7 linked regions of the Mus musculus genome follow. The protein of the gene in region 1 binds, or shares a complex with, the protein of each later gene. Links are inferred from orthologs where the notes say so. Each region holds a gene or a part of one and is shown in the gene's direction. Other genes may lie near its edges.

Region 1 (4,771 bases):
GCATCCAGGAAGTCACATGAATGGGGATCGGTCAGGTAGTGTTCCTGGCTTGCACCAGTGCAGGGTATGGACAGCTGTGCCCATCTTGGGAACCTAAAGCATGTTTGGGACACTGGGACCCTCCCTATGTCAATCTCACTCGCTGTTCTGATCTTTCAAAATTACAAACCACACCTCTTTCTATCCCATTACAGTAAAGGGATTACCCACCTGCAGGGTCCTTCCAGGCCTGTGGTGACTCTACCCCTCTCCGTTGTCACCAGGTCTAGCAAGGCCCAGGCTACTTGGACTCTTCACAGAATGTGGCTCTGGTTTATCTTGTCCATGACACCCTGCTAGTAAGGATGGGTAAGCATGGAATGGCAGACCAGTAATGAGAGATTCTATAAAGGAGGAAGATAAGTTGTTTTTTGTTTTTTTTTTTTTTAAGAATTGGGTGCTTGTCATATCATTGGAACTTGTAGGGGCCTAGGGGCTTATGGTGGACACAGTCAGCTTTTCAAAGAACATATCCTATTATGGTGGCATAATATGCTTTCTATTTTTTATTTATTTATTTTTGAGTCTCTGGCATATAGATGCAGTACCTTCCTGCATCGATAGCAGCTCTGGGTACCACAGTGGCATCCAGCAGACAAGAGGGTGTGGATTCCTGTCTCAGAGGTCATACTAGCCCATCTCCCTAAGATACCCTTTAGCACCTTGGGGTATCTCTTGTACTATAAAGCCTGCAGATCCCCCTTTCTGAGCGTCCTTCCTGATTTCCTCTCTGCCCTACACTAGGTTCTGTGTGGGATTATTGATGCTGTGCATACAGCAGAAGTCACATCCTGCCCAGTAGCTGAGAACCAGATGCCTAAGACTGTAGGAACAGTAGCAGGCCTCTCACTGGAAGCACTCAGCCTGTCTCTGCCCACCTCGTCAGGTGGTAGCTACTGATTCATCCTACACCTCGATTTAACAGATCCCTCAGGTGACCTCATGTCAGGACAGAGCTCCAACTCCTAGACAGACTGCTAATCTGCAGTCTGAACTCTCCCACCTTTCCTGGGCATTACAAGCTTTGAACCAAGGGAGTGGTAATCCCTATATACTCCCAGCCTTCGCTGTACTGCATCACGCACCAGGCCCTTTTCACCTGGAACATCCTCCCCATACCTTTGCCAACTGCAGCCAAGTACAATTGATTCCCACTTTGATAAAAGCCCACAGCAGCCTGGGTGCTTGAAGGATTGAACCTCAGTGCTTTGGGAGAGGTTGATGCCAAATCAGGAAGAAATCAGAAAACAAGCTGGGCAGTGGTGGCCCACGCCCTTAATCCCAGCACTTGGGAGGCTGAGGCAGGCAGATTTCTGAGTTCGAGGCCAGCCTGGTCTACAGAGTGAGTTCCAGGACAGCTAGGGCTACACAGAGAAACCCCAGCCTCGAAAAACCAAAAAAAAAAAAAAAAAAGAAATCAGGAAACAGTCTCAGTTGCAACAAGTGGCCATACCGACACTTAGATACCTAGGTCACACTCTAGAAGGCCGGATTGGTCCTCAGAGCCACTAGTGACCCAAAGTCCCGCTTCCTTGCCTTAGCGTGGTAAACGCTGAAGGGTTAAGCCTAGGTGTGCAGGAGGCGAGGGCTCAGCCTTTTGAAAGCTGTGGGCGGGGAGCGGGGCGGGGCTTTCTGGTGTGGGCGTGCCCAAACATTCTAGCCCTCCTTCCGCTCTAGATTGACGAGGACGTAGTGACGTCTGAGTCCTCCCGGCGCTTCCCGGGCATGGGCGGGTCACGTGGTCTAGTTTTCGCGCGAAAACCGGTGGCAGCTGGTGCGGTGGAGCTAGCGCAGACATGGCGGTGAGGAATGGGCTGATCCCGGGCGGGCGGTATTCAGCGATCTCGGCTAGCTTGGCCGGTATCTTCCTCTAGTGGCAGGCTTGAGTGCGGGGCTACCTGCACCAGTCTGGGACGGGTCGTCTCTGCTCTCCTCATGTGTCTCTAGGCCCCGGGTTTACACGCACTTATGGTGGTGAGGCTGCAGGAAATGGAACCCAGAGCCCCGCGCATGTAGGGAAAGCCGGCTACCACGTAGCTGCGTGCATCCCTTCTCTCTTGAGAGTCTCATAGCTGGGCCGGGGAGGCGTATGCCTTTAATCCCAGCACTAGGGGGTTACAGGCAAGCGGGTCTTTGAGTTTTACAGAGTGAGTTCCAGGGCAGCCAAACTGCACAGAGAAACCCTTCCTCAAAAAGAAAGAAAGTAGAAAGGGTCCCACTAAGTAACCCAGGCTGGGGTTGAACTCGCTCTGTAGTGCGGGTTAGCCTTGAACTTGGCGATCATCAGGCTTCAGCCTCTAGGTATTTTGGATTTCATGCCTGTGACATCAGGCCCGGCTTTCCTACTCTGTTTTGTTTTTTTTTTTTTTTTTTTTTTTGGTTTTTTGGTTTTTTGGTTTTTTGGTTTTTTTTTTTTTTTTGGTTTTTTCGAGACAGGGTTTCTCTGTATAGCCCTGGCTATCCTGGAACTCACTTTGTAGACCAGGCTGGCCTCGAACTCGGAAATCTACCTGCCTCTGCCTCCCAAGTGCTGGGATTAAAGGCGTGCACCACCACTGCCTGGCTCGGCTTCCCTACTCTTACTGTTAGCGTTTTCATTAAAGGTTAAAGATCTGTTCTTTCCACCATTCACTTCTAGAATAGTGTTCCTTGATGCCTCTTTTATCTTCACCTCTTGTTTCAGCACCCAGCATATTGTGGGGTTTGGGCTAAGTGGGGTGTGAAAATAGATTATAAACAGGTTTTTAAAAAAAACTACATAGCCCCCGAGGTTTTTCATAAGACAGACATGGACAGATCTGAGGGACTAATATGTCCCTGAGAACAATGCCTAGTGTACAGGAGACAGACTGTGGGAAGGCCCCATGGTAACCAGGAGGCTGTCAGCCTGTGTCCCTCCAGTGTCTGATGGCAGACTTTTTCTCCTACAGGAGTCTTCTGAGTCTCTCTCAGCATCTAGCCCTGCCCGTCAGCGGCGCCGGATCAGTGATCCCCTCACCTCCAGCCCAGGCCGCAGCTCCAGACGTGCTGACGCCCTGACCTCCAGCCCTGGCAGAGACCTCCCCCCATTTGAAGATGAGTCTGAGGGGCTGCTGGGCACAGAGGGGCCCATGGAGGAAGAAGAGGATGGAGAGGAACTCATTGGTGATGGCATGGAGAGGTAGGCTGTGGTTAGGTGGCTTAGCAGAAGGACCCCCCCCCCCCCCCCCCCCCGTGTCTGGTGGCCTGGCCTTGGGGACCCATGAGTGTATGAGCCAACCTGGTGACTTTGCCTTTGTATATGGCTTGGTTGGGATGTGGAGGTTCATCACCCACTGGGAAGATGCATTTAGCTCACTGTATACACCTCAGACTAGACCCTAAAGCCCAGGCAAGCCCCCGCTTAGGAGAAGGGGACCCATAGAGTCTGATCTGAAGAGCCCTGAAGGGTGGCACCAACTCGGAAAGATGGTTCAGTCAGCAAACTTGCACCCAGCCTGCATCAGGCTCTGGGTCACAAGTGTTCAGAGTTGTAAGCAGACATACAGAAGGTGACTGAGGCCGTCAGGAAACTGAGCTTTGCCAGGAGGTAGGGAGATCTCCCTTACCGACACCAGTTATGTGGCCACTTAGGAGGCTTTTGGCACCTTGCTTTTGTACCTTTCCGTAGGGGATATCTGAGGGGTATGAGCCATCACTGGGCTGTCTGCACCATCTGGTTCTTTTCTTTACACACTGCCAGGCTAGGTGTGAAGAGACTGGGTCTGCAGTGAGTGTCCATGGACTGATGGAGTTGATCATCCTGGGCTCAGCAGCAAGGGCTTTCCTGCAGAGTTGCTGGGGGGGCCGCGGGGGGGGGTAGGGGGGCTCCAGGGCCACCTCCTCTTCTTTAAAGTGAGAGACACTTTAGAGATGTCTGAGGACTATCTGACTCAGGGTTTGTATGGAAAGAAACGAAGTTTTATATTATAAGCCTTCAGTGCAAAGACGGTGTGTGCAAGCTTTCTGCAAGCCATTCTCTTCTGCCTGTTGATCCCAGTTTTAATCAAATTACCAGAACTGGAGTCTTGGTGTTCATCCTTTTGTGCCAACATTTTACTCTGGAGTTTTCAAAGTTCAGTCTTTTGTTTGTTTGTTTTTTTCCGACACAGGGTTTCTCTGTGTAGCCCTGGCTGTCCTGGAACTCACTCTGTAGACCAGGCTGGCCTTGAACTCAGAACCACCCCACCCCCGCCTCTGCCTCCCAAGTGCTGGGATTGAAGGTGTGTATTGAGTGTTTTACCACATGCATGCCTATGCCTGTAGAGACCAGAAGAGGGCGTCAGACCCCATGGTTGTGAGCTACCTTGTGGGTGCCGACAACTGAGCCCAGGTTTTCTGCAAGAGCAGCCGGGTCATTTCTTTAAAAGTCTTTTTTTTTTTTTTTTTTTTTTAAATATTTCATTACATTGCTCATTGTGTGTTTGTGTATGGGTGCACATGCCATAGCACACGTGTGGAAGTTCAAGGACAGCTTCTGGAGTTGAAATTTGACCAACCCCAGACTGTGTGGCCTGTTCCGCTGTAGACTAACTAGAATCTCACTGAGTGCGTGTGTTTCCGGTGGACTGAGATCCTTTAAGGGTCAGAACACACTTTCCTCAGAAACCACTACATTCTACGTAGGACCAGTCTGCACTTCTACCTGCTTTGCCTCTGGTGTTTTGAAACTGGTTGCTTTGAGAGGGTAGTTTGAGAACATTAGCCAGTCACC
Region 2 (4,535 bases), on another chromosome or scaffold:
AGCTGTGGGTCAGTCAGATCCACGGTTACAGATGAGGGAGGCTATGCTCAGGAGTAGGAAACATAACTTGAGAACAACTTGGGATTCAAACTCCGTATGTCTACCTACAAAGTATTTTCCTACATATAATGTTGCCTATATGAAAGGAAAAACAAATGATAAGACAGCCATTCCAAAGCTCACTTTAAATGCCAGTGGGAAGCCTAGAACATGGCTCAGGACGTAAAGCGCTTTATTTTTACCTTAGCTCTGAGGTACTGAGTTCACATCCTTAGACCCCATGTACTAGTTAGACAGGAAGCAAAGAGTCTGCAATAGCAGCATCCTACAGGGACATGGGACGGTGGAGAGACAAAGGAATCCTCAGACACGGGCAAGCTGGCATGCACAGTGGAGAAACAACACAGACATCTTGTGTCAAATGAGGTAGGAAGTGAAGACTGACACCTAAGGTGGTATCTGACCTCCATGTGTTAAAGCATGCACATGCCCACTCTAACCAACACATGAATGTGCACGCATACACAGAACAGTCTATGATAGAGTCGTGTTTAGGTATTGTGAGTTCAGTATGTAAATGACAGGCTGTATGAAATCAAACACACCGTCTGCCTCACAGTGCCCCAGAACCATGGGATTCTACAGCTATAAACACGAATCACAGGTTTGCTTTTACGTGCTGGTTAATGTAGGTTTTAAGTTCTAGAGTAAGGCTACATTCTTTAGGAATGTAGTGCTCTGGCCTGTTTTATCTGGATTCTGAGAATAGTTACTTATGTACATTCAGAGGTTGCTCTCCATCCAGTGTGGCTGCTGGTTTTCCTTCACTGGGCATGAAGGAACTTTGAAAGTAGGTAAGAGAGGAACTAAGTTTAGTTGGCCTTGATTTTTAGATCCGAGGAGGGGAAAAGCCGAAGAAGCACTGAACTATTTAAAATGATAGGATGGGTGGGTCAGTGCAATTAGTTTCCATTGCTGTGTGAGGTGACTGCAGCAGGTGAGTGGCGCTGATTCTGTGCTGCCAAAGATACACATCCTTTGAGATAAAAGGCATTCTTAAAAGTTGTGCTTTGTGTATTTTGATTGATACAGGCTATTCCTGCATGGACTGAGGGATTCATCCCAGATGAAGTCATCTAAGCCTATAGTTGTACTCTGAGTATCACCTTAAAAAACACATTAACCTTTGGGTTGAACATGTCAAGTTTCCCAGTTTTCCTTATTTTGTATGATTGTGTATGATTGTGTGTGTTTGTGTGTGTGTAGGCCAAAAGACAACTTGACAGAGTATGTTCTCTCCTGCCACTGTATGGGTCCCAGAGGTCGTCAGGTATGGCGGCATGCCCTCCAACCCGCTGAGCATCCTCTCCAGCCCGAGCATCCGCTCTCTATTCGGAAAACTTTCGTTGTGTCTTGTACCGTACTCTCATGTATCATTGAGCTGTGCAGGGAACTGGGAGGAAGCGCAGTAGTGGCTGGCACCGGGTGGGGCGTGCCTCCTCTCCAGAAGACGCCACCGCCGTCTCATTTTACTTCGCGGGCGAGAGCGAGGCTGCTTTGCGGCTGCCGTAAAGTGCGGCTGGCCCCGCCCCCGGCGCTTCTCCTGTGACGCAGGCGCCCAGAGTTATTTGGGCGGGAAAAGGCGGCCGGCGGTCCGCTGTCCAGCAGAGCGGCTGTGGCTACAGCTTCCCCGGGTTCGCGGAGCAGCCTCTTCCCTGGCATGGGGCTGCTGGAGCTGTGCGAGCAGGTGTTTGGCACCGCCGACCTCTACCAAGTGCTGGGCGTGCGGCGCGAGGCTTCGGACGGCGAGGTCCGACGCGGCTACCACAAAGTGTCCCTGCAAGTGCACCCCGACCGAGTAGAGGAGGACCAGAAAGAGGACGCCACCCGCCGCTTCCAGGTTTGTGGGCCCGCGTTCGGACTGCTGCCCGGACTTGTGCTCTCGCGGGGCCCCTGCTCCTAGGACAGCGCACTGCTGATCCTCGGCCTGGCATTTTTCAGCTTTTCTAGCTGCCCTGTTTCGGTGGGAGGTTCAGGATGACTTTTGGATACTCTGCTTACAGATCTTGGGAAGAGTCTACGCGGTTCTGAGTGACAAGGAACAGAAAGCAGTGTACGATGAACAGGGGACAGTGGACGAAGACTCTGCTGGCCTCAACCAAGACCGGGACTGGGATGCATATTGGAGATTACTCTTTAAAAAGGTAAAGAGCTTTAGTGGCTTTGACTAATTCTCATCATTCAGTCCACAAGAACAATTCGCGAAGTTAAAGCAATCTTCTTTGTTATTAGATATCGCTAGAGGATATCCAAGCTTTTGAAAAGACATACAAAGGCTCCGAAGAAGAGCTAAACGATATTAAGCAGGCCTATCTGGACTTCAAGGGCGACATGGACCAGATCATGGAGTCTGTACTTTGTGTACAGTACACAGATGAACCCAGGATAAGAAACATCATTCAAAAAGCTATTGAATCCAAAGAGATTCCAGCCTACAGCGCCTTCGTCAAAGAGTCTAAACAAAAGATGAATGCAAGGAAAAGGAGGGTAAGTAGTGTTGTTCCTAGCACATCTCAGCTGCTTCAAAAAAGGGTCTCGCTGTATTCACAGCGACGGAAATAGACTGCTGCGATATGACTGCTTGACCTGCAGCATTGATCTAACTAGATGACCAGGAAGAAAGCCCTGATTACTTTGGTATGTTGTGCTGAAAATGATTCCACTTTATGGACTGTTTGAAGTCACCCTCAAGTGATTCTGAAAAACTTTTCACACGAGGCAGTCCTTGTAGCTTTGCTGTATGGAGCCTGGTTACAAGGCTGTGGGCCTTGTGTGGTTATTGAACAGGTAGAAGATGGCAGTGATTGTGTGCTGTTAAACATGTAGAATGGCGGGGTGGTGCTCCCAGTACTTGAGCACTGAGGAAGCTAACTGAGGATTGCCACTTTTGAGGTCAGGCTGCGCTGTGTGGATCCGTGCTGCATTGGTTGTCTAGTACGTGGGAGGTCCCTAATTCTCCAAAACTGCCCAGAAGAGGGGGAGAAAACAAAAATTAAAAAAAATTCTGTAAATACATATAGTTATTTCACACACACACACACACACACACACACACAAGGGGATGGAGAGATGGCTCAGTGGGCATGTACTCCTCTTACAGAGACCCAAGTTCAACTTTCAGGACCAAGGTTGGGTGTTGTGGCTCACAACCGTCTGTAACTCCAGCTCCCAAAGATTTGACACCTCCGGTTTCCATGTAACCACTGGGTGGTCTCTCCTGTCCCCACTCTGAGGAACACAATTGCCTACACTTGAGGATTGGGACTTGCGGTTGATTCTTCATCCCTTCATCCCTGTCTAACCAGGAAGAGTGGGGATGTTAGCTGAGGAGTTGAAGGAAGCAAACAACCCTGCTTACGCTCTTTGGGAAAGTTACCCCAGACTGCTGGTAAAGCAATGGTTGCTTCGTCTTGGCTTTCACGATTGGAGCTGACTGGAGAGCTGGCAATTTAAGATGTTAGGTGTCTGGTGGGTACTTGAGTTGTCTTTTGTGTGGCTCAAGTGGATGGGCAAAGACCTGGAGCTTTTAGTACAAGAACATGCAGAGAGAAAAACTAACTTTAGTGTTTGGGGTGAGTTTAAGGGCCTGCTTTACAGAGAAGAGACTGCTATGCCTTTTTCATGGCTTGGAGTCACAGCTGTTGCTTGCTAATCATTTTCGCATGTAAAACAGAACAGCTGTATTAGATCAGGATTTTGGTTTGAGAAACTTGGAGTTAGAGGGGAAATGACAGTTTGAAAGCTGTGTAAAGGGATTGAGGAATGCTGAATTTTAAGAGACGATAATAGAACAAAACTTGTTTTTTGTTCTGGAATAACAAGATCCCAATTTATCCTTATTCCCAGTGGTGATTTGGAAATTTTTACAATGAGTTAGGGCCTCACAGTTCTTGCTGTTAGCTGTTGTGGTATTTTGGCAAATTTTGTTAAATGAAGATAGCTTTGAAATCAGGTAAAGAAAGGCTAAAACTGAGTTTGCTAATGTTTTTTTCTGACTACTCAGAAAACATTTTAAATTTGTGTTGTGTGTATTTGCATGTGTTTGTGCCTGCGTTTGTGAGTGCATGAGTGTGGGTGCCCTCAGAGCTGTTGATTCCCTGGAGCTAGAGTGACAGACAACCTGGTGTGGATGCTGCGCATGGCCTCTGGAAGAGCAAGAAGTGCTAACAGCTGGGCCAGCTATCCAGCTCCAGAGAAAGCCTTTAAATCATTGCAGCTCACTAGGCTGCTGTGTACAAAATGGGGTTTCAGATGAAGATCCTGAAGTGCCTGGTACCTGGCATCCGTTTTGACGCTGTCCTTGGCTATGTGACCCTTTGGGTCCCCTAGTAGGTTCCTTTGTGTCATCATATGGTTTGAGATGCTGACGTACTTGTGCTCTAGATTTAGGAAGTAGAATGGGGATAACATAGAAGGACTTCCTGGAGTAAGACTGCTTCCATGAGCAGTTCCTAGACCTCCAGCTCTAGGAAGGG
Region 3 (3,976 bases), on another chromosome or scaffold:
AAATTACCCTCTCTTTTCAGAAAGGAGAAGATGAGTATGCCAGTATTGATGCCATTGTTGTATCGGTGGGTGTTGATGAAGAAATTGTGTATGCCAAGTCAACTGCCTTACAGGTAAAATGGCTTACAGCTTTCAGTACTTGGGTCTGGTGCATAGCTCAGTAGTAAAAGATGTGCTTGGTATTTGAGAGGCTCAGTACTTTCTCTCCTGGGATAGTCGGTTACTCAGTCCCATTCCCTGTGTCTGAGGCTCTCACTGGTGCTGTGTTACAGGTGAGTAGATAGTAGAGCATCTGTATCATTGCATAATTTCCATTGGATTGACCACTGAGTAGAACCTAAGGAAGAAAGGAATGAATAGAGAAAATGTATTTAATTGCATATAACAAAAAGAACCAGTGGATTGAATGAAGAATTTTCAGGAACCCAGGTTTTTTCAATTCCCCGATATTCCATTTTGCTTATGATATGAAATAGCTGCTAAAACTCTGGTCATTCTTTCTATACTCTAAGCAGAAATACAGACAAATGAAGACTAGTGACATTCCTATTTTAAAATGGCTTGTGACATAGTGTATCTAAGCATAAACTCTCCCTGGACTCCCTTCATTGCCAAGGAAAGTAAATGAAACACAAAATGTCCAGTTTTGATGTTTTTAACTATGAAATATTTTAAGCATATAAAAGCAGACAGAATGAATGCTCATGTGCACACCATTTAGCCCCCTATTATTCAGCCCCTGATCCAGGTTGGTTTATTTGTATCCACATCAAAGTTACTCCATCCCAAATCGAAACTTAACCTATATATTTATATGTTTATTTGTAATACTTTAGTTACTGTTGTTGTTTTCCATAGACGTGGCTCTTTGGTTATGAACTAACTGATACAATCATGGTCTTCTGTGATGACAAAATCATCTTCATGGCCAGCAAAAAGAAGGTGGAGTTTCTGAAACAGATTGCCAATACTAAAGGCAATGAGAATGCTAATGGAGCCCCTGCCATCACACTGCTTGTCAGAGAGAAGGTTGGGACCAATATATGTTGTTACAAATGTGGGATATAGTATTAAGTGTTGAGCACAAGTGTCTTGGGACATTTAAAATGCATGAGAAAGGATTGCCAGGTATGGCAAAACATGCCTTTAATCCTAGCACTTAGGAAACAAAGGCACACAGATCTCTGAGTTCAAGGCCAGCCTGGTCTACATAGTGAGTTTCTGAGCCAGCCAGGGCAACATAGAGAACCTATGTTAAAGTGGGGAGAAAAGAAAAGTTGTAGTTCTAATTACAGAGCTCTGTCTTCAGTTGGGTAGGAAAATAAGAGCTCTGGAGCTGTTAGCTTGGTGGTAATGGAGTATGAACTGTGGGCTCTGGTAAGCACTACTAATTTACTGACCATGTTCTCAGGTTGTAATTTGTTTCCATTGCAATAACTACTTAGAGCACATAGCCTAGAAATCCTTACAATAACTTAGATATGCTTATTTCTCAGAATTTTTATTTGAGTTTTTTTGTCTCTTCTTAAAGGAAGAGAATACCCTTGTCTTGTCAAAATATGCAAAGGAAATGTCTGTCAGCTTTCAGTATGTGATAATCTGCCATGAAGAAATAGATAGGAGGCTCAGAGAACTCATCCTCCATGGTTTAGATTATTACTCTCTACTTATTAGATAGAAAATAAAAGTCTAATTCTTGAAGTAACATCTCCTTTTCTGTGGCAATGATAGAATGAAAGTAACAAGAGCAGCTTTGACAAAATGATTGACGCTATCAAAGAAAGCAAGAGCGGCAAGAAGATCGGAGTGTTCAGCAAAGACAAGTTCCCTGGAGAGTTCATGAAGAGCTGGAGTGATTGTCTCAACAAGGAGGGCTTTGACAAAGTAAGGCTTCATCCGGAAGCAGCACACTGAAAGGGAGACGGGAGGTGGAGTGGGCTTCCCTTGGAGCAGAGGATTTTCATTTGGGGAAATCCATGTTCGTTCATATTTCATGTCTTTTGGCTAAATAATATTCCAGTTAGTTTTCAGTCAGAAAATAAGTGCGTCAACCACGTTAGACAGCTTATATTGGGTGGTTGAGAAGAATCTCTTGACCAAAATATATTTTGGGGTCATCTTTTCCCTGCCTTCCTGCCTGTCTCCCTTCAGCAATATAATTATGTCTAAAGAGATGAATTTGTTGTAAGTAGTGCATTAGCTTAGTGTCTCATAGAGCACATGTTCTGAGAGAGGTGCTCTAAGTGTAGACTCGGTTTGGGAAGAGCCTGAGCATTCTGAGGAGATAGTGTTACTGGTGGTTCTCAAGGTGTGTGCAACAGCTCTGTGTGTAGTAGAAATGCATCACCTTGCTACAGGTAGACATCAGCGCTGTTGTGGCATACACCATTGCTGTGAAAGAGGACGGTGAGCTCAACCTGATGAAGAAAGCAGCCAGCATCACCTCTGAGGTCTTCAACAAGTTCTTTAAGGAAAGAGTCATGGAAATAGTGGATGCAGATGAGGTAAGGAAAGAGGGGCGCTCTTTTTAGTGGATTGATGAAGCAGCCCTGATCCTGCCTGGCTTGTTTCACTCTTTGTTTTGCTTTTTATTACCTTTGAAGTTGGTAACTGCCATCTCCTTCAAAATAAGTAAACGTGAATGTGGTTTATTGAGGCTGTTATTTTACTCCAACATGGAAACGTGTTTTCAAAACATGGAGAGCTATGAATTCCATGTAAGCACCACATTTCCTTAGTATATTGTTATCTATGTGGTATGTACACCAAAGATTATATCAGCATGTGCTGTGACTTTAGATGACACATTAAATATCATGCACTTCTGTGTACTACCCTCCAGTGAGTGTTACTGTATTCCTACGTACTCTAGAAAGTTCGGCATAGCAAATTGGCTGAGTCTGTGGAAAAGGCCATTGAAGAAAAAAAATACCTAGCTGGGGCAGATCCTTCTACTGTGGAAATGTGTTACCCTCCTATCATTCAGAGTGGTGGCAACTATAATCTCAAGTTCAGTGTGGTGAGGTAAGTGTAGAAACTACATAATATAATAACATGGTTTTTCTTTTGACTTTTTCAAAAAGTCAAAAGAGATAGAATTATTAATCTGATTAAAATATATAGTCTTTCTGTGAATATGTTTCTTTACTTCTTACATTATAGCACTTAATAATATTTTTTCCAAATTATTAAATATGCTAGAAAAGGGGGGCTAAAGAGATAGCCTGGTGCTAAAGAGCTCATACTGCTATTCTCTCATGAGGACCAGAGTTGAAATACCAGCATCACCCTCATCAGGTGGCTCACAAACACCTGTACCAGCTCCAAGGGTCAGAGGCCTCCCTCCTCCTGACCTCATTGGCACATACCTGTAACTAAGATGCTTTTAAATTCTAAAAAAGTCAGGTGTGGCAAACGCTTTTTTAGCATTTGAGAGGCAGGGGCAAGTGGTTCTCTGGATTCAAGGCCAGTCAGAGCTACATAAGGAGATCCTGGGATGGGGGTATAGGTGTGGGAGGGGGTATGCTAGAAAAATATAAAGTAAACTGAAAAAATAAAATAAAAACATTAGATATACATCAGGTAACTTCTTTCTTAATTTTAAGACGTGCTATAAAAGGAGACTGGTTGATGCTGTACCTCAGCAGCAGAGCCCTGCTCTGTTCTTCTCTTTATACCGTGTTCATCGCTCCCTGGTTGTGGATGCTGTGTGCCGATGATACTTTCCTGGATTTGGTGATAAAATGCATTCTTTCTTTGGTTTCTAGTGATAAGAATCATATGCATTTTGGGGCCATTACGTGTGCCATGGGCATTCGCTTTAAATCTTACTGCTCCAACCTTGTTCGCACTCTGATGGTTGACCCCACTCAGGAAGTTCAAGAAAATTACAACTTTTTACTTCAACTTCAAGAGGAGTTGCTAAAGGAATTAAGACATGGTAAGATGACTCAGAAAAGGTTTGGAAGTCCTAGTG
Region 4 (3,958 bases), on another chromosome or scaffold:
AGGCGTGCAAGATCAAATTAAGAAGCCAGACGTGATCTCTATCAAGCTGTATCCTTTGTGTTAAGAACTTCCACTGGGTTAGTGATTTTAACACAGTCCTTGCTGCTCAAGTATGAAGTGTTTGTTGGTTTCTCATCTTCAGATGGTTAGCATTTCGTTAAAGCTGTGACTGAGCCTGGAAGGCCCAGGTCTCTGGAGCCCGCCCACCCGCCCAGGCAGCTGGCTGCGCCTCTGTGAGCTACTTTTGCTTTCCTTGACTGTTGTCTTCAGACGTAAAGAAAAACATGAAGTACAAATGGACCACAGACCTGAGTCTGTCGTACTGGTGAAAGGACTCAACACCTTCAAACTGCTCAATTTTTTGATCAACTGCAAGAGTTTAGTTGCTACCTCAGGTGCACAGGCAGGTCTCCCACCCACTCTCTTATCCCCAATAGCCTTCCGAGGTGCCTCAATGCAAATGCTTAAGGTAAGTGTTTACTTCATCTACATACAGTCCAGCAATTTGTGTTGTTTTTGTAAACCTGGGGTTTCTGTAATCCTGGCTGTCCTGGACATAGACTACTGTGATCTCAAGTTTACAGAGATCCACCTGCCTCTGCCTCCTGAGTGCTGGGATTAAAAGCGTGTGCCACCATTCCTAGCTCAAATTCTCAATTTTTAAAAAATAATTCTAGGGACTCGGGAGATGGCTCAGTATTTAAATATGAGAACTGGCTGCTCTTGCAGAAGACCCAAATTCAGTTCCCTGCACCCACGTGGTGGTCACAGCCATTGGTAACTCAAGTGCCAAGGATTCTGATGCCTTCTTACCCCACGGGTAACAGGCACAACTGGGTGTGCATGCATTTGAGAAAATACAAAATCCAGCACACGGGAGGCAGAGGCAAGCAGATCTCAGTGAGTTAAGGAACAGCAAGGCCTACATAGTAAGACCCGATCTCAAAAAATGTGTGTGTGTATATATATGATAGCATATAAACAAGTTTTCATAATTGTAAACTGTTGTTGCATACTTTGGGCTGTGTGTCGGCACTGAGACTGCGTGGGGGAGGAGGCCTACTAGACAAGCAGCTTGACCAAGTCGCATTCCCAGGAGTTTTGGTTTTGCTTGAGAGCTAGGTGACATGAGTTATATCAAATCCCTTTTACTAATTTTCTGTACCACATGACTTTTTTTTAAATGTTCTGAAGGCACGGAGCAGTAATGTAAAGACACAAGCTCTTTCTGGATACAGAGATAAGTTTAGTTTGGATATCACAGGGCCTGTCATGCCTCATGCATTGCATTCTATGAGCATGCTACTCCGATCTTCACAGAGAGGGTCCTTCTCTGCAGGACTGTATGCACACGAGCCAACTGCAGTTTTCAATGTTGGCCTGTCTCTGGATAAAGAACTGGACAGAGTAAGTAGACCAGTCATACCCTATATCCTCTTGCTGGGGTAAATGTCACTTGTGCCAAATTTATATCGTTTGAAAACAAGTTACAAATTAATATCCACATGGGCATAAGATAAATTTCATGAATTTAGGAAATGCTAAATATGAATTCCTGATTCCTTTGTAGTTTATGGAAACATGATTTACCCCAGCTATTTTTCCCGTTTCTCATGTCTGTGTACATAACTTGCAGTTCTGCATGTGTTTAAGAGCACCCGGGATTGAGCGAGCTCACACGGAGCTGCTCTTCTACCTCAGTCATCAGTGTAGTCTTTTCCTCAAGACCTGAATGTCTGAACGTGGCTAATCTTGCTAGCTGGTCTCTGTGTGCCACCTTCAGACTAATTACAAGTGCAAACCATGTCTGCCCAGCATTCTTGGGCATTCTAGATAGCCTCCAACTCTGGTTATCACACTTGTACAGCAAGTGTTTTAACACTAAACCATCTTCAAGCCTTAGTTACTAATTTATTTTGGATTGTCTTTTTAGACTTTTTTTTTTTAAAGATTTATTTATTATATGTAAATACACTGTAGCTGTCTTCAGACACACCAGAAGAGGGAGTCAGATCTTGTTACGGATGGTTGTGAGCCACCATGTGGTTGCTGGGATTTGAACTCTGGACCTTCGGAAGAGCAGTTGGATGCTCTTACCCACTGAGCCATCTCACCAGCCCTTTTTTAGACTTTTTAAAGATAGTTTACAGTCCTTTAATTGGCACAGTATTTATCAAGCCTAATAGACTAGTTAATTTAGGATTTTCATACTACAGAAATTATTAGGATTATCTTCTAGCTATGATTGACTGAGCCATTTATTGGCAAGTCTTTATGGGGATTATTAAAAACTTGGTGAACCAAGCAAGAGAGATGGGTCAGCAGTTAAGAACACTGACTGCTGCTCTTCCAGAGGTCCCGAGTTCAATTCCCAGCAACTACATGGTGGTTCATAACCATCTGTAATGGGATCTGACGCCCTCTTCTGGTGTGTTTGAAGACAGCTCTGGTGTACTTGTATAAATCTTTTAAAAACAACAAAACCTCGGAGTTCAAGAACTAATGTGCTTTATGGATGTGGACTTGTGTTTTCCCAGAAAGTTGCTCGTGAGGACCTTGCTAATTGTGGGCTGCATCCTAAAACCCTGGAGCAGCTCAGTCAGAGGCCAGTGCTGGGGAAGTCATCCCTGCGGAGTGTGGAAATGAGTGACTACATTTTAAGTTGGAGATCCTGAACACCAAAGTAAGCCTAAAAGGAGTCTGAGGAAAAAGCTTCCTAGCAAGGAAATGCAAGATGCGTAGGCCCCTGGCTTTTAAAGTTCATTCGGAAGAATATATTTTAAAATACTGAAATGTTCCTAAACATTTTTATATTAACTTATTACATGCAATAGCATTAGGTTTTAAATCAAGATTTTGCTTTTATTATTTTCATACATTTTCAGAGATGAAGATGCAAGGAGCTTCCTTAATACCTCAGATAATTCAAATAAGAGTTCTATCCCTGCAACTTATTGTTAACCTGAGTAGAAAAGTCAGTGTTTTATTACAATTGAGAAACAGACTACCTGTAGCAATTATTCCAATGGAGACTAAAGCATCCACATTGTACCTTAGACGAGCAGTGAGTTCTTTCAAGACGTAGGGAAATGAGCATTTTTACTAATGATTTCTAGTTCCTCTGCTCTCACGTATGTTCATCTTCTGTGTCAAGTCAGAGGGGAGGCTACTTTGTACTTCATCTAAGTGCTGGGCCCTCAGCCATGTCAACTTACTACTTAGTATGCTTACAGGTAATCTGTGTTTGCATGTGTGTATAAAATTCAGTATTTTTAAATAAACGTGCATAGAAATCACAAGAATTGGGTAAGAAACAAATAGTGCTTAGTTATATGTGTTCCATAAAAGCCAGAGAATAAGACACAACATTTATTCCAGAGAAGTTTGTATTTGGGCCTTAAGCTTTTGAAAATAAAGTTTAGAGACATAGCATATGAATACCACTGTAATACACATGAATATTCTATCAGACCCTAAAAAATTAACATAAACTTCCTCAGTCAACAAAATAGCGGCTGGGTGCCAATTTTTATTAGATAAGTCGGTTACAGCATTTTTATTTACGTCTATCTAGGTGTAGCTGAAATTCAAAATGCACATCAAAGTAAAACTATATCACAACTGAAGCCATACTAATATGTACTTGGCCTCTGAAGTTGGACTTCCATTTTGACTTCCTTCTTATGACCCAAGTCAAGTGGCTTTAATGGGAATGCAGGACTTAGTACTGATCATGACACAATGTATCACTTTCTTTTCATAATCTCTACAAAAAGGGGGAGATGGTGGCATAGCCCTGTGGAACAGATCTTGCTTCATTGCCTTAATAACACTGGCCCAGTATCTGTCCAGCAGAACCCATTGTGAAATAGTACAAGGTGCACAGCCCTTCACTGATTACAGGCAAGTGTTACAGCAGCCTAGCCGTAAGGAAGGGAAGTTACATCATAGTACAAAA
Region 5 (3,976 bases), on another chromosome or scaffold:
ACGTTGCTGTCTTCCTAAGCTTTGCATTTTCCGTGGATTTGTTCTGTGGAGCTTGTGGTAGCTTTTCTTGATTTCTGTCCTCTGGCATTTGAGTAAATGATTTATTTCTTTCCAAAGTTTTCATTTCTGTCAACACTTCTGGTTTCTGACCTTTTTTTCCTAGTGTCCTATTCTTGTTATAGGAATGTTAATGGTTGCCCAAATCTCTCAGAGCATAATGGAGTCATTTTAAGTTTCATTTGATCTCTAACCATCTGTTTTTATTGGGATCTTCCCCCACCCCCACCCCACCCTCACCCCTCTTCAAGCCATAAGTGGTTCTCAGATAATCTGGTGTTTTGTGTTTAGGAAGCCATGGAATCCTGACTGAGCCCTGGATGTCTGGGTCCAGCTTGCTGGGCACAGATGCTTTGCTTGCAGGCCAGCCTTACTTTCCTAGAGTCTTCATTTAAAATATTCAGAGAGAGTTGGGGGCTGGTGAGATGGCTCAGTGGGTAAGAGCACCCGACTGCTCTTCCAAAGGTCCAGAGTTCAAATCCCAGCAACCACATGGTGGCTCACAACCATCTGTAACGAGATCTGACGCCCTCTTCTGGTGTGTCTGAAGACAGCTACAGTGTACTTACATGTAATAAATAAATCTAAAAATAAATAAATAAATAAAATGGGACAATGTATATGTTAGGCTTTAAAAAAATATATATATATATTCAGAGAGGCATATTCTCTTATCCTTTGAGTGGATGTGGGAAGTCTTTATATTTCCCCCATCCATTGCCTAAGGTACCCTGTTGGAACCCTCCAAGTACCTTCTTGGGTCCTCCTTATGTGATCTCTAGATTCCTGTTTTGTAGCCCAGACTAGCCTCAAATTCACAATTTTCCTGAATGCGGGGATTACAAGTATGTCTCATCATACCCATGTATCTTCTGTCTTTTGATCCTAGAGTCTTTTGACTCTCTTGCTCCATCGCTGTGTTACACTTTTTTAAATTGTTCCTTCCTTTCATGTGAAGAGGAACTCATGGGGGAGAGAAGATACATTTTTACTCCTAAACTCCTTCTTGAACCAGGAATCAAGCAGTCTGTTTGGCCTTGGCATTTTAGCAAGAGTACCCAACAAGCATCACATAAGCCCTGTGTCTGCCCTGTTTCAGGAGTAACCTGGACAAGCTATACCTTGGTCTAGAGCTCGCCAAGAAGCACCTCCAAGCCACACAACAGACCATCGCCAGCTGTCTCTGTACCAACCTCGTCACTTCCCAGGGCCCTTTTCTCTACTGCTCACTCATGGAGGTTAGACTTCCTTACCCGGGCAGTGCCAAGCCACACCCCCTAGTAGCCCCTTCTGATCAGCTGTCTTCCCCTTCCAGGGCACTCCAGATGTCACCCTGTTTTCCAAGCCAGCATCCTTGAGTCTGCTCAGCAGACATCTGCTCAAGTCCTTTGTGTACTCGGTGAGCACTTGGATGGAGTGCGGATGAGGTGGTAACGGCATGGGTACAAGAGGACAGGCGTCATGCTAAGCGCGTGTCAGGGGTGGCCTAGGGTTGCCCACACTGTTGAGCAGCTATGAGGCTGGGTATGCTCCGTATTTGGGGCCATATTTTACCTCACCTCACCTCTAGGAGCCTTCCAGTTTCCTACAAGCTCTAGAATTAGCACTCACTAGTTATGTCGCTCGGATAAGTAGGAGGGGCCCTGGAAAGCTGTGGGGCTGGGGCTTAGGGTCATCTGTGACAAATCAAGAAAAGATGGAGTTAACAAAGGTTTGGATAATGTCTCTGTAGGTTTGTGGCCCTAATAATATCTTTTTTTAGAACACAGTCTAACTCAGTTGGTATTTAGACAGGCCCTAACCCAGCTACTAGAGGACTTCTCTCAGGCATGGATGCAGAAAGGATAGTTGGTGATTTCAGGATGAGGTTTATGAAGAGAATCAGGAAGTTGAAATTTATTCAGGTTTCATCAGTAAAACAATGATGTTAATATTCTGAAGATAATTAATGCTGTCTCCATGGGCTCTGCCTCCTCAGACAGCCAGTCTTTGATCACAGCTATCTCAGGAAGATTGGCTATATAGCTCAGTACTGGAACCTTGACTAATATGTGTGAGGCCCTGGCAGTATATCTGATCCCCAGCACCAAAAAGAATTCCTTTGAGAAACCTGCAAGAAACAAAACATGCAAGTGAAGTGATGTGTCAGCATTGCGTTGGGTAATATAAGTGCTCTAGAGATGATTCAGTGTAGAAGAGGGTATGCAATTATATATAAAACTATATATAAAATTTACACAAGTGATAGTGTCTTCATGAGAAACATGACACTCTTAGATTTGGGTGTCCACAGGGGTCCTGGAACCAATCCCCTGCCACCTGCTAGGAATGATTAAAATGTCAAAAGATGAACCAGACCAAACTAGAACTTTGCAATTCTGTTGGCTTCATTCAGATCTCAGCCTCACGCATCAGTTGTGAGAAGGAATATCTGACCTCTGCACCTCTCTTTCCTTATCTGTAGAAGACAGCCACTTCACAGGTCTAGTCAGTTATCAGACATTGACTTAACACCCACCAAGTGCCCATTTCACATGCTGGGTTACACCTCAGGCCTGTGTAAACCAGGACTGTTAGTTGGTCACTTCAATGGTAGTGTGAGGGGGACCTCAGCCCCTCTGTCCTAACTGTGCAGGAGGTCCCCATGAGACATGAGTGCATGAATGAGTTTCAAACAGAGGCACACACTGGGAGGAAGGAGAACAGACAGGAGTGTTGGGAGTTGTTCCTAGAGACCTGGAGGTGGTGATTGGAGAAAAGCAAGGCTGGGGTACAAAGAGGGTTGAGCCAGTAGATAATTGGATGCTGAGAGCCAAAATATCAAGTTGGAATTTTAGCATACCCTCTAGTGACTGCATCCCTGCAGGCTTTAGGGGTGGCCTAATGCTATCAGAGTTTCTAGGTGCTGAGCAGTGTGCTCCACCCTGCAAGCTGAGAATGACTGTGCTGTGACCAAGAGTGCTCCTGTCTCCATAGACAAAGAATCGACGATGCAAGCTGCTGCCCCTGGTGATGGCTGCCCCGCTGAGCGTGGAACAGGGCACAGTGACCGTGGTGGGCATCCCCCCAGAGACTGATAGCTCGGATAGAAAGAAGTGAGCAGCTTCTACGTGTCCTGGGACAACAAGGCTGAAGGCCCTGGTGTGTCAGCACATTGGCCACCAACTCTGCAGAGCCTAAGTGGCTTTTGCCCTTCACTGTCTGTGTCACTGGGGCCAGGTTGGGAAGGGTCAGTTGTCTGTTGTCTGTGGTCTGTCTCACAGTGTATCTGTTCTGTGCCTTTAGCTTTTTTGGTCGGGCTTTTGAGAAGGCAGCAGAAAGCACCAGCTCTCGGACTCTACACAATTACTTTGACCTCTCAGGTGAGTGTCTCTGCCCAGTGACCACATTTCTGCCTTCACACCTTCCAGGCCAGCATTGGCCCTGGAGGGAGGCAAGCTGGTGATGGAGGTATCCAGCCAGCAATCCACCTTGCCCTTCCAAAACAGCCCTCGGCAAAGCTGCCTTTATAATTCTCACAACTCTTGCTGGGAAGGCACAGGCCTACATGCAGCCTCACTACCCTGCTCTAAAGTCAGTTCCCACCCTGAGGGGCTGACTGTGGTAACTCCAGAGGCCAAGCCAGTCTCCATCATGTACAAAAGGAAACAACACAGCCTGTGGCTGGCAAAGCTGGCACCATGAAGGACCTTACCTGGGGCTCCAGCACTCTACCCTGCAAGACAGTTTTTGCAACTGTTGGGTGAGTCAGAGAGTGGAAAGGCGTAGTCCGGTGACCACCAGAGAGAGCAGCACACAACTTGGTTCATGCTTGAGCAGATTTACCTTCTTTTTTTTTTTTTTTTTTTTTTTTTTGAGACACAGGCTATATAGCCCAAGCTAGCCTTGTTCTTATCATTTTCCTGCCTATGCTTCTCAA
Region 6 (4,541 bases), on another chromosome or scaffold:
ATGCAGAAAATTGCCAGTAGTTACAGGACATGCCTAGCTCACACCCTGGGTCTGCTTCTGACCCGCTCTTGTCAACAAGCACATTAGTCATAATTGTTTTAGAGATAAGGCCTTGCCCTATAACCTGGTCTTGTTTCGACCCTGAGATCCTGTTGCCTTGGCTTCCCCAGTCCAGGGATTCTAGGCATGTGCCAGCATGCTTGACATTATTGCAACTTTTTAAAGTAGCTGTCTGGAATAAAATGTCTTAAACTGACTAGAGCAATGGTTGTTAAAAGAAGAGGAATAAAAAGTAAAGAAAGTGGTGTAAATACTTCAAGCATTCATGTGATACAAGTGTTTTTGGCAAGAAAAAGCAAGTGACTATTGCTTAGCATATGTAAAGTTCTAGTCCATATTTAGAAGGCTATTGCTTAAATGTAGTGAATTATGTAAATACATTAACAAATTATTTCATTCAAAACTAAAAAGGAATACAAAAGATGAAAGGCATGCTCGCCCCCTTTCCTGTGTTGCTCACAAACCACTACCTCAGGAATGCCCTCCTACAGTAGGTAAATTCGGTAGCAAATCTCGCAACAATCTGCCTCAACCTGTATTCATGTATGTACCGCCAAATCTAGGACCAAGCAACCAAGCAACCGTGGTCTTTCCTTTGTTCTCAGGTACTCTACCTGTGATCGCATTTGATATAGGAGCTCCCGCTTGCAGAGTGGCTGTGAAAAGACTAGGAAACTGGTCTAGTTTCCTCTTTCAGGAACCCAAACTGATCACCACACGAGGACTTTGCCAGTTGACAGTAGAGCAAGGCCCTGAACTTCAGATCTTCCAGCCATATATAAATCTACCACTCCATCTAGACTCCCACCCCACCTGAACCTACACCCGGCCAAAATACTACAAATAATTTGTAACTTAGCACACAGTTAAACATTTGGACTAGTGCTTGCGTTTTAGTTTCTTCTGTTGTTTTCAAAGACAATAATTAACCTACCAGTGAAAATGCAATAAAAGCGGGATTAATGAGGGCTGGAATACATAGTGTAAAATGATATTACTTGAATCCCCAAAGATGTTTTTAAATTCTATGTGTGTATTTAAAGGCTGCATGAACACAGTTCCGTTAGTACAGACACATGCTGTCCCTTCAATGATGTTCAAGCTTCATATACCTTCCCCAGCCTAGTCTACAAGCTGCAGGAGGACTTCCGGCCGACTCATCCAGGGCTTCCGCATTGGGCGGGGACACTGGACCCAATCTGTGACCTTATTGATTGCTTTTGCCTGAGCGGCCGCAGGCTCGCCGAAATCGACTGCTCGGGTCTGGCGAGTGCGGCGCGGGAAAGCGAGTTTGAAGCCGGCCCTAGTTCGCTGAGGTGGCGCGCCCTCCTCATCCCTGACTGTGCTGCGAGCTGCCATGTCCGAGGCGTATTTCCCAGTGGAGTCGGGCGCTCTGGGGCCGGAGGAGAACTTCCTGTCTTTGGACGACATCCTGATGTCGCAGGAGAAGCTGCCGGTGCGGGTCGAGACGCCCATGCCGCGCCTGGGAGCCTTCTTCCTGGAGCGGGGCGCGGGCTCCGAGCCGGACCATCCGCTCCCTCAGGTGAGGCGAGCCCGGCCGGGGCAGAGGTTTCCAAGATCTGGAGGCGGTGGGAGTCCTCGGGGGTCCCGGGAAGCTGCACAGCACTCGGAGGACTCTCCCGCCACCGATCTTAGTCTTCAAACTTTCCAAAGTCATTGGCTTTGGCTCCAGCCCATCATCTCAGGGTCTCTTGGTTCTATTCATGGTTTCCATAAAACTTATTTGAAGTTTCGAAGTCTGGGAACTGCAGATTGTCATGCGCACTCGGCACAATTATGACAGTGTCTGCAGCCTGTTTCCGAGGACCGACTGTCCATCAGGGGATGGGAGTCTGTGATGGGGGGATAAATTGTCATCTTCTCGCTTAGGCAATTCTACAAAGAGTGAGTACCTCAGCCAGGGTTCCACAGTAAGTCCGTGCTGGCTTAACCAAGGCAGTCCTCGGTAAAAGGTTGCTCATAACAATTTTCAGTGTCGCACTGAAAAATGGCAACTGCAGCTTCCCGTATTAAGCCTTTTGCCCTCCCATAAACCTAACAAAAGCTGGGTTAACAAAGCCAGGGTCCTCCAGTAAATGGTGAACTGGGATTCGAACCTTGGACTCTATGGCTTCAAGTACGAGTTTGTCCCAAGAGCGTAACTTGCAATGGTTACTTTCATTTCCCGTTAGGTCCTTTAAGTTTTGTTTGGAAGGGTATCAATTTTGTCTCTGTCTATTTCTAGGTACTTTTTCTCAAAGTAAAACACCACATTTTTACTTTTTCAACAACAGAAAGGCTCATTTTTGCTCCCTGGGCTGCTTCTCAACCTCACAGTCCTTTGTAAGTCGACTCTTCAGAGTCGACCGCCATGTTTTTGAAGAATATTCCAGGACTGGGGGTGAATCCTGGAGCGTTTCACATGCCAGGCAAGCATGCTACCACAGAGTTCTACCCCAAATGTCAACTTATTGGCTCCCCATTGTCATAGAGAAAGATTTAGGAGTCTTTTGTTTTTGTTTTTTTAATGTTTTTGAGACAGAGTTTCTCTGTGTAGCCTTGGCTGACATAAACTGGCTCTGTATACCAAGCTGGCCTCAGACTCAGCAATCCTTTTGCCTCTGCCTCCCTGATGCTGGGATTAAAGGTGTGTGTCACCACTGTATGGCTAGGATTTAGTTGAGCTCTTACACTCTACTGAACAAGATATCCTGCCGAGTTTGGGTCTTTTTTTCTTTTTCTTTTTTCCTTTTCTTTTTCTTTCTTTTTTCTTTTTTTGGTTTTTCGAGACAGGGTTTCTCTGTATAGTCCTGGCTGTCCTGGAACTCACTTTGTAGACCAGGTTGGCCTTGAACTCAGAAATCCGCCTGCCTCTGCCTCCCTCTGCCTCTGCTGGGATTAAAGGTGTGCGCCACCACGCCCGGCTGGGTCTTATTTTCTTAATTTACCTAATATTCTAGTCTAGCATCTTTAAAAAAAAAAGAATTAAAGAATAATTTTTAGCTATTATATTTCTCTGGGTTCTTCTTAGCTATCGTCAGGCTTTTTTGTTGTGGTTGTATCTAATGACAGTTTTCTGGCTATGATAACAGATAAGGTTTGCTTGATATTTTACTCATGATCAAACTGGTTTATTGGTTTGGGAGAGATCACAGGGGTCAGGTTCCATTTTTACTGCATCACACCAACTTAGTGTTGTCGACTCTGTGGTAGATTCTGATCACCAGGCTGAGGTAGTGTTTGTTATGTTTGCCATACTCCTTGGAAGTTATTATATATAGCCACTCTGAAGGAGCAGGCTGTCTTGCTCCAGTTTGAGAGATAGTGTCTACACAAAGTATTTGGAATTCCTCTGCAGCACAGAATTAGGTTTGAAGATTTTTTTTATGACATCTAATTTCACTCATCGATATAAGACTTCATACTTTGTTTCTTATGTTGATTTTGATATGTGCCTTGAACTCTGTTCTCCTGCCACATTATATGCCCCTGCACCTGCCTTAGTCTTTCTTTATAGGCAGAGTGAGCTGGGCCGTGTGCTCCAGTTGTGTAATACCGGCTACTTTAGAGGCTGAGGCAGGGAACTGTAAGTTCCACCATCACCTGTTTCCTAAGTTGTCTTATTGTTTAGTTCTGCAATTTTCCATTTGCTATTTTTAGTTTACATTAAAGTCAGTGCCTAATTACTCTGCTACTTAGTTTTAAGTACCTGGCTTCCTACCTTCTAATACCTTGGCCACTCAAGTCCTGGCCTCCTGGCAACCTTGGGCTGTTTATTTCCAGCCCTGGGATGTTTGTGGACTGCTCTACCTCTCTACCCCTAAAAGTTGCCCCTCCCTCTACAATAGTTCTCCCTTTGAGATGAAAAATTTCCATGGCTTCCTTTAATCCAGTTGTTTTTGTATATGAAAATATTTATTCTAATTGGATGTATCAGTGTGTGTCTGTATAGATGTATGTACATCGGTGCAGATGCCTATAGAGGCCAGAGGAGTCACATCCCCCTGGAGCTGTAGTTAGAGGCAACTGTGAGCTGCCCGATGTGGATGCTAGAAATTGAACTCTCCATCTCTGTAAGAGCAGGATGTGCTGAGCCATCTTCCATGTCCCCTTTTGTACCTTTTTATAGATTTTATAGATTTCTGATCCATCATGCCATCTCATCTTGTCATGTTGTGCATTTCTTTTAAGGCTTTGAGAACATAGACATTGACCCTTTCTGCCATCTCCAAAGCCATGAGGTGGGTGGGGAAAGAGACCACTACCTGACTTCAGACTAATTTCATTTTATTCTATTCTACTAGCATCCAGACTGGTACTTAGTGCTTAGTAGACACCCAGCAAGAGCTTATCTACCATAGATGGAAAATATTCAAGGAAAGTAAAAAAATTATTGATACTCATTTACTTTAGAGAACTCATGTTTTAGCTGATTGTTGTTATGATTTATTTTCTGTCTTTATTAGATCATAACGTAAATC
Region 7 (4,496 bases), on another chromosome or scaffold:
GGAAGAGGGAATCTTGAGGAACTGCCTTCATCAGAATCGCTTGGCCACTCTGTAGGAGTATTCTTAATTAATAATTGACTTGGGACAGCCCAGACCACTAAGGGGAGTGTCACCCCAAGGCCTGGGAAGCCATGGGAAGCCAGTAAGCAGCCTTCTTCCAGGATCTCTGAGTTCCTGCCCTGAATACCCTTTATGGCATGGAACTACAACTGCAAGCTGAAATTAGCCCTTTCCTTTTTAGTTTATCTTTGGTCATGGTGTCTTATCACAGAAACAGAAGGCAAATCAAGAGTATTTTTACTGTTTTTTGTTTGTTTGTTTTTAAGATGGGCTCCTTTAGAACTCCTGAACTGAATTGAAGTAATCTTTCTCTGTCACAAAAGTTCTGGGATTGCAGGCATTCCACCATCAGTTCAGAACCAATTTTAAAACTGCTGTTATCTGCGACATTTTCCAGTTTGTGAATATTTTTAACTGTTTTAAAATCAAAAAGTGCCAGAGCAGAAAGTGCGAAGCATAGAGATCCCATTCTAGTCAGTTTATGAGCCATGTGACCTGCAGAGAGTTAACTGTTTTCGTTTACCAGTTCTGCATACTAGTAATCTCTTAAGGAAAGTTGTGAGAATTAACTGAAATATATGTCATAGTTCCTACCATACTAAAAGTACCCAATAAAAGACGGTTTCTCAGGCTGGGGAGATGGCTCAGCCGGTAAGAGCACTGACTGCTCTTTCAAAGGTCCTGAGTTCAAATCCCAGCAACCACATGGTGGCTCACAACCATCTGTAATGAGATCGGACGCCCTCTTCTGGTGTGTCTGAAGTCAGCTACAGTATACTTACATATAATAATAAATAAATTACAAAAAAAAGACACCCCTCCAATCCCCAAGTCCCTGTTTAAAAAAAAAAAAAAAGGTTTCTCTTTAATGTTAAACAACCGGCACTGCAAAACTCAAACACTGCATCATAACCAGTACTTTCTCGACTTTTCTTCAACCTAAAGGTGCCTCTTGCAATCTAAAGATAATAAATTCAAATGGAAAAAATAAAAAGGAGGAGAAGAATGTGCACTTTACTTTGCTGGACAATCGAAAACAGCCCTTTGTTTCAGCCCACAATCTTAGACGCAATTTACTTTCTGGCTTTGCCAGGGAGGAAACCATTCTCTTTAACCCCAATTTTCCTGAAGCTCAGTGAGGTTGCTCAATAAAATTAAATGTCCCTTCTCGGCCACCGTAGCTCAGTTCTCTCCCACCCACCATCCCCACCCCGCACCAGTGCACTTCTATTGGTTGAGCCTATTTGGCGCCAAAGCGAGGAGCTGGTTGCTGGTGTTGTGCGACTCTGAACAATAGAAGTGCCGCGGCCTGGGAACTAGCGACCGTTTGGGGTGACTTGGCAGTTGACGGGACCACGGGACCCGGGCGCGTCCGTCATGTTCTGCGAAAAAGCTATGGAGCTTGTCCGCGAGTTACACCGCGCGCCGGAAGGGCAGCTGCCGGCCTTTAATGTGAGGAGCGGCGGCCGGGAAGGGGCGTGTCGAGGGCCAGGCCTGGGGGCCTAGGGCGGGGCCTCATGCCTTGGGGCGGAGCCTATGCCTGCTGTTGCTTGCTGGAGGTTTTTTTTTTTTTGTTGGTTGCTGGGCTAACTTTATCTCTTTGCTAGATTCCGAGATCGGAAACAAGTTTGAAACGGGGCCAAATCGTAGGAAGAAAAAGACTCATACTTAGGTTACCTGTTGATTTGGTGACTTGCCCCATCTGAGCGTTTCTTGTTTTCGTTTTTTGAGATAAGTCCTCATGTAGTCCAAGCTGGCCTGGAACTCTATTTAAAAAACAAAACAAAACAAAAGAAATTATGAGTATGTGTCTCACTTGCATGAAGGTGCTTCATGGAAGCCAGAAGAGGGTGTGGGTTATAGGTGGGTTGTGGGTGCCAGAGCCATCCCTCCAGATCCACATGCATTTTTATAGCCAGCTTCTTGATGAGCCAGTAGCATCTTAATATAACCCCAGTAGTTCTGGGGATTGCTATGAAGCTGTGTCCCAGCTTCAGCCTTTGTAAACCATAGATTTGCTTTTCTTGTTTGTAGATTTTGCCTCTCCCCCCCATCGCCCCCCCCCCCCCCCCCCCCGCGCCCCATGTATCTGGGTTCATTCGGCTGGCTAGGAGCTGACACGTCATGGAACAGGGCCATGTGGAATCATGTAGAATGCAGTCTTTATTTCTGGCCTCTTTTGCTCAGTATAATGTATTTGAGACTATTCTAATATTCAGTAGTTCAGTAGTTTTATAATGCTTGTTTTTTAAGGATTTATTTTTAAATTTTGTGTGTATGAATGTTCTGCGTGCATGTATATATGTGGCAGCGTGCATGCCTGGTGTCCACAGAGGTCAGAAGAGATCAGTGAATTCTCCTGGAACTGACGGTTATAGACAGTTATGAATCACCATATGGGTGCTAGATGTGTCGAACCTGGGTCCGGTTAAAGGAGCAACCAGTGCCCTTAATCACTGAGCCATCTCTCCAGCCCCTATTGCACTTTTCTTTCTTTCTTTCTTTCTTTCTTTCTTTCTTTCTTTCTTAATCACTGAGCCATCTCTCCAGCCCCTATTGCACTTTTCTTTCTTTCTTTCTTTCTTTCTTTCTTTCTTTCTTTCTTCCTTCCTTCCTTCCTTCCTTCCTTTCTTTCTTTCTTTCTTTCTTTCTTTCTTTCTTTCTAGACTTATTTATTTATTTTACATATGTGACTACACTGATGCTGTCTTCAGACATACAGAAGAAGGCATCAGATTCCATTACAGATGGTTGTGAGCCACCATGTGGTTCCTGGGAATTGAGCTCAGGACCTCTAGAAGAGCAGACAGTGCTCTTAATCTCTGAGCCAATCCCTCCAGCCCCTATTGCACTTTTCCAATGGCTATTTGTTTTATCTTTTAAAAATACACATACAAATATAAACTTGACCGTTTTAACTTAGTGTATGTGCAGTACTAATTACATCCACATTGTTTTCAAACCTTCCTCACTCTTTCCAAACCCATTTCATTACTCCAGCAGAAACTTTGTCACTGTTGAGTAGCACTGCCCAGTCCCCCTTTTCTCACAGGTCCTGATCATCACTTTTCTGTTATATTTATTTACTTATGTGGGTTGTGACATACCATAGCACAGGTGTAGAGGTTAGGGGACAAGAGAGTTGTCCTTCTACTGTGTGAGTTACAGGAGGTCAGCACTCTAGGAAGTAAGTGCCCTTACATGGCGAGCCATCTCACCTGCTCTTATTTTTTAAACGACAGTTTTCATTAAGTTGTCAAAGCTGGCCTCAACCTGAGATATTCCTTCCATTTGCTGGCATTGATTCTAGGCCTGTGCTGCTGTGTCTGGCTACATTGCTTTTCTATGTATGAATTTGCCTTGCCTGGTATTTCAAGTAAGGAGACTCAAACTATAGTCCTTTTGTGTCTGGTGCCTCTGGTTTAATGTGGAGTTTTCAGGATCTATCTATGTTTATCATGTGTCAGTACTCATTCCTTCTCATAGCTGAATTACATTCCATTGGGTGATATACCACATTTGGCTTATCTCTCCATCTGTTGTTGGTCCTTTGAATTATTTTTGCTTTTTGACTATTTTGAATAATTCTGCCCAGTCAGCGTATGCCTATAATTCCAGGATTTGGGGTGCTGAGGCAGGAAATGTAATGTGAGTTTTAGGTCAGCCTGGGTCACATAGTACTAGTAAGACCCTGTCTCAAGAAAACAAATAACAGGGCTGGAGAGATGGCTCAGTGGTTAAGAGCACCGACTGCTTTTCCTAAGGTCCTGAGTTCAAATCCCAGCAACCACATGGTGGCTCACAACCATCCGTAATGAGATCTGACGCCCTCTTCTGGTGCATCTGAAGACAGCTACAGTGTGCTTAGATATAATAATAAATAAATCTTAAAAAAAGAAAACAAATTATGAAACCCTAAAGATAAAAAAAATTCAAACACAACACAATTGTTTGTAAGTTTTTGTGTGAGTTGGCGATTTAGCTCAGCACTAGTGGTGGGAATAACAAAGCAAAAAGAAAGAAAACCCGGGCTTGTGTATAATAACCTAGGAGTGGAGTTGCTGGGTCATATGGTAGTTCTGTTTAACCTTTTTTTTTTTTTTTTGGTGCAGGCACAGAGCTCAAAGGTCTTATGCAAGTAGGAATATGTTGTTTAAGATAGGGTATATCTGTGTAGTGCCTGAAGACCTTGAGCTCTTGGTCTACCTGCTTGGCATCCTGTGTTCAGAAACTACTTCGTCCATTCCCTTTAACAGTTTGAATAGCTGTGGAACCGATTTCCATAGAACTATACCACTTATGCTCCTTGACAACATCTATAGCTATGAAAATATTGTGAAGCCTTTTTTTGTAGTAAGATATGCAAATGAAAAATAATATAGATTGAAATTAATAGGTGGATCAATGGATGCATATCAATATCAGTTTCTACATTT

The links.
Region 2: the proteins of Mcm2 (region 1) and Dnajc9 are in contact, whole or in part, in a crystal structure (PDB 7CJ0), measured with the Homo sapiens proteins. The link is inferred for Mus musculus from reciprocal best matches to the Homo sapiens genes MCM2 and DNAJC9. Residues at the interface, in NP_004517.2 of Homo sapiens: Glu65, Glu66, Glu67, Asp68, Glu104; in NP_056005.1 of Homo sapiens: Lys185, Arg189, Arg192, Lys244.
Region 3: the proteins of Mcm2 (region 1) and Supt16 are in contact, whole or in part, in a crystal structure (PDB 8YJF), measured with the Homo sapiens proteins. The link is inferred for Mus musculus from reciprocal best matches to the Homo sapiens genes MCM2 and SUPT16H. Residues at the interface, in NP_004517.2 of Homo sapiens: Ile73, Gly74, Asp75, Met77, Tyr81; in NP_009123.1 of Homo sapiens: Gln898, Ser899, Leu900, Asn901, Lys904.
Region 4: Mcm2 (region 1) and Donson share a complex: the UniProt entries of both Homo sapiens proteins name them as parts of the replisome complex. The link is inferred for Mus musculus from reciprocal best matches to the Homo sapiens genes MCM2 and DONSON.
Region 5: Mcm2 (region 1) and Cdc45 share a complex: the UniProt entries of both Homo sapiens proteins name them as parts of the CMG helicase complex. The link is inferred for Mus musculus from reciprocal best matches to the Homo sapiens genes MCM2 and CDC45.
Region 6: Mcm2 (region 1) and Gins3 share a complex: the UniProt entries of both Homo sapiens proteins name them as parts of the CMG helicase complex. The link is inferred for Mus musculus from reciprocal best matches to the Homo sapiens genes MCM2 and GINS3.
Region 7: Mcm2 (region 1) and Gins1 share a complex: the UniProt entries of both Homo sapiens proteins name them as parts of the CMG helicase complex. The link is inferred for Mus musculus from reciprocal best matches to the Homo sapiens genes MCM2 and GINS1.

The regions. Positions count from the first base shown.
Region 1 is NC_000072.6:88,895,715-88,900,485, reverse strand, and holds the start of Mcm2 (DNA replication licensing factor MCM2), read left to right. Parts: upstream 1-1,705; 5' UTR 1,706-1,835; coding exon 1,836-1,841; intron 1,842-2,969; coding exon 2,970-3,199; intron 3,200-4,771. UniProt on the Homo sapiens protein: Acts as a component of the MCM2-7 complex (MCM complex) which is the replicative helicase essential for 'once per cell cycle' DNA replication initiation and elongation in eukaryotic cells.
Region 2 is NC_000080.6:20,385,969-20,390,503, reverse strand, and holds the start of Dnajc9 (dnaJ homolog subfamily C member 9), read left to right. Parts: upstream 1-1,593; 5' UTR 1,594-1,720; coding exon 1,721-1,900; intron 1,901-2,063; coding exon 2,064-2,204; intron 2,205-2,292; coding exon 2,293-2,547; intron 2,548-4,535.
Region 3 is NC_000080.6:52,180,065-52,184,040, reverse strand, and holds part of Supt16 (FACT complex subunit SPT16), read left to right. Parts: intron 1-20; coding exon 21-113; intron 114-858; coding exon 859-1,029; intron 1,030-1,731; coding exon 1,732-1,884; intron 1,885-2,357; coding exon 2,358-2,504; intron 2,505-2,872; coding exon 2,873-3,024; intron 3,025-3,767; coding exon 3,768-3,940; intron 3,941-3,976. UniProt on the Homo sapiens protein: Component of the FACT complex, a general chromatin factor that acts to reorganize nucleosomes. The FACT complex is involved in multiple processes that require DNA as a template such as mRNA elongation, DNA replication and DNA repair.
Region 4 is NC_000082.6:91,678,606-91,682,563, reverse strand, and holds the end of Donson (protein downstream neighbor of Son), read left to right. Parts: coding exon 1-48; intron 49-270; coding exon 271-469; intron 470-1,194; coding exon 1,195-1,407; intron 1,408-2,537; coding exon 2,538-2,675; 3' UTR 2,676-3,299; downstream 3,300-3,958. UniProt on the Homo sapiens protein: Replisome component that maintains genome stability by protecting stalled or damaged replication forks.
Region 5 is NC_000082.6:18,784,249-18,788,224, reverse strand, and holds part of Cdc45 (cell division control protein 45 homolog), read left to right. Parts: intron 1-1,156; coding exon 1,157-1,295; intron 1,296-1,372; coding exon 1,373-1,456; intron 1,457-3,033; coding exon 3,034-3,152; intron 3,153-3,342; coding exon 3,343-3,419; intron 3,420-3,976. UniProt on the Homo sapiens protein: Required for initiation of chromosomal DNA replication. Core component of CDC45-MCM-GINS (CMG) helicase, the molecular machine that unwinds template DNA during replication, and around which the replisome is built.
Region 6 is NC_000074.6:95,632,181-95,636,721, forward strand, and holds the start of Gins3 (DNA replication complex GINS protein PSF3), read left to right. Parts: upstream 1-1,378; 5' UTR 1,379-1,417; coding exon 1,418-1,603; intron 1,604-4,541. UniProt on the Homo sapiens protein: Required for correct functioning of the GINS complex, a complex that plays an essential role in the initiation of DNA replication, and progression of DNA replication forks.
Region 7 is NC_000068.7:150,908,282-150,912,777, forward strand, and holds the start of Gins1 (DNA replication complex GINS protein PSF1), read left to right. Parts: upstream 1-1,312; 5' UTR 1,313-1,437; coding exon 1,438-1,512; intron 1,513-4,496. UniProt on the Homo sapiens protein: Required for correct functioning of the GINS complex, a complex that plays an essential role in the initiation of DNA replication, and progression of DNA replication forks.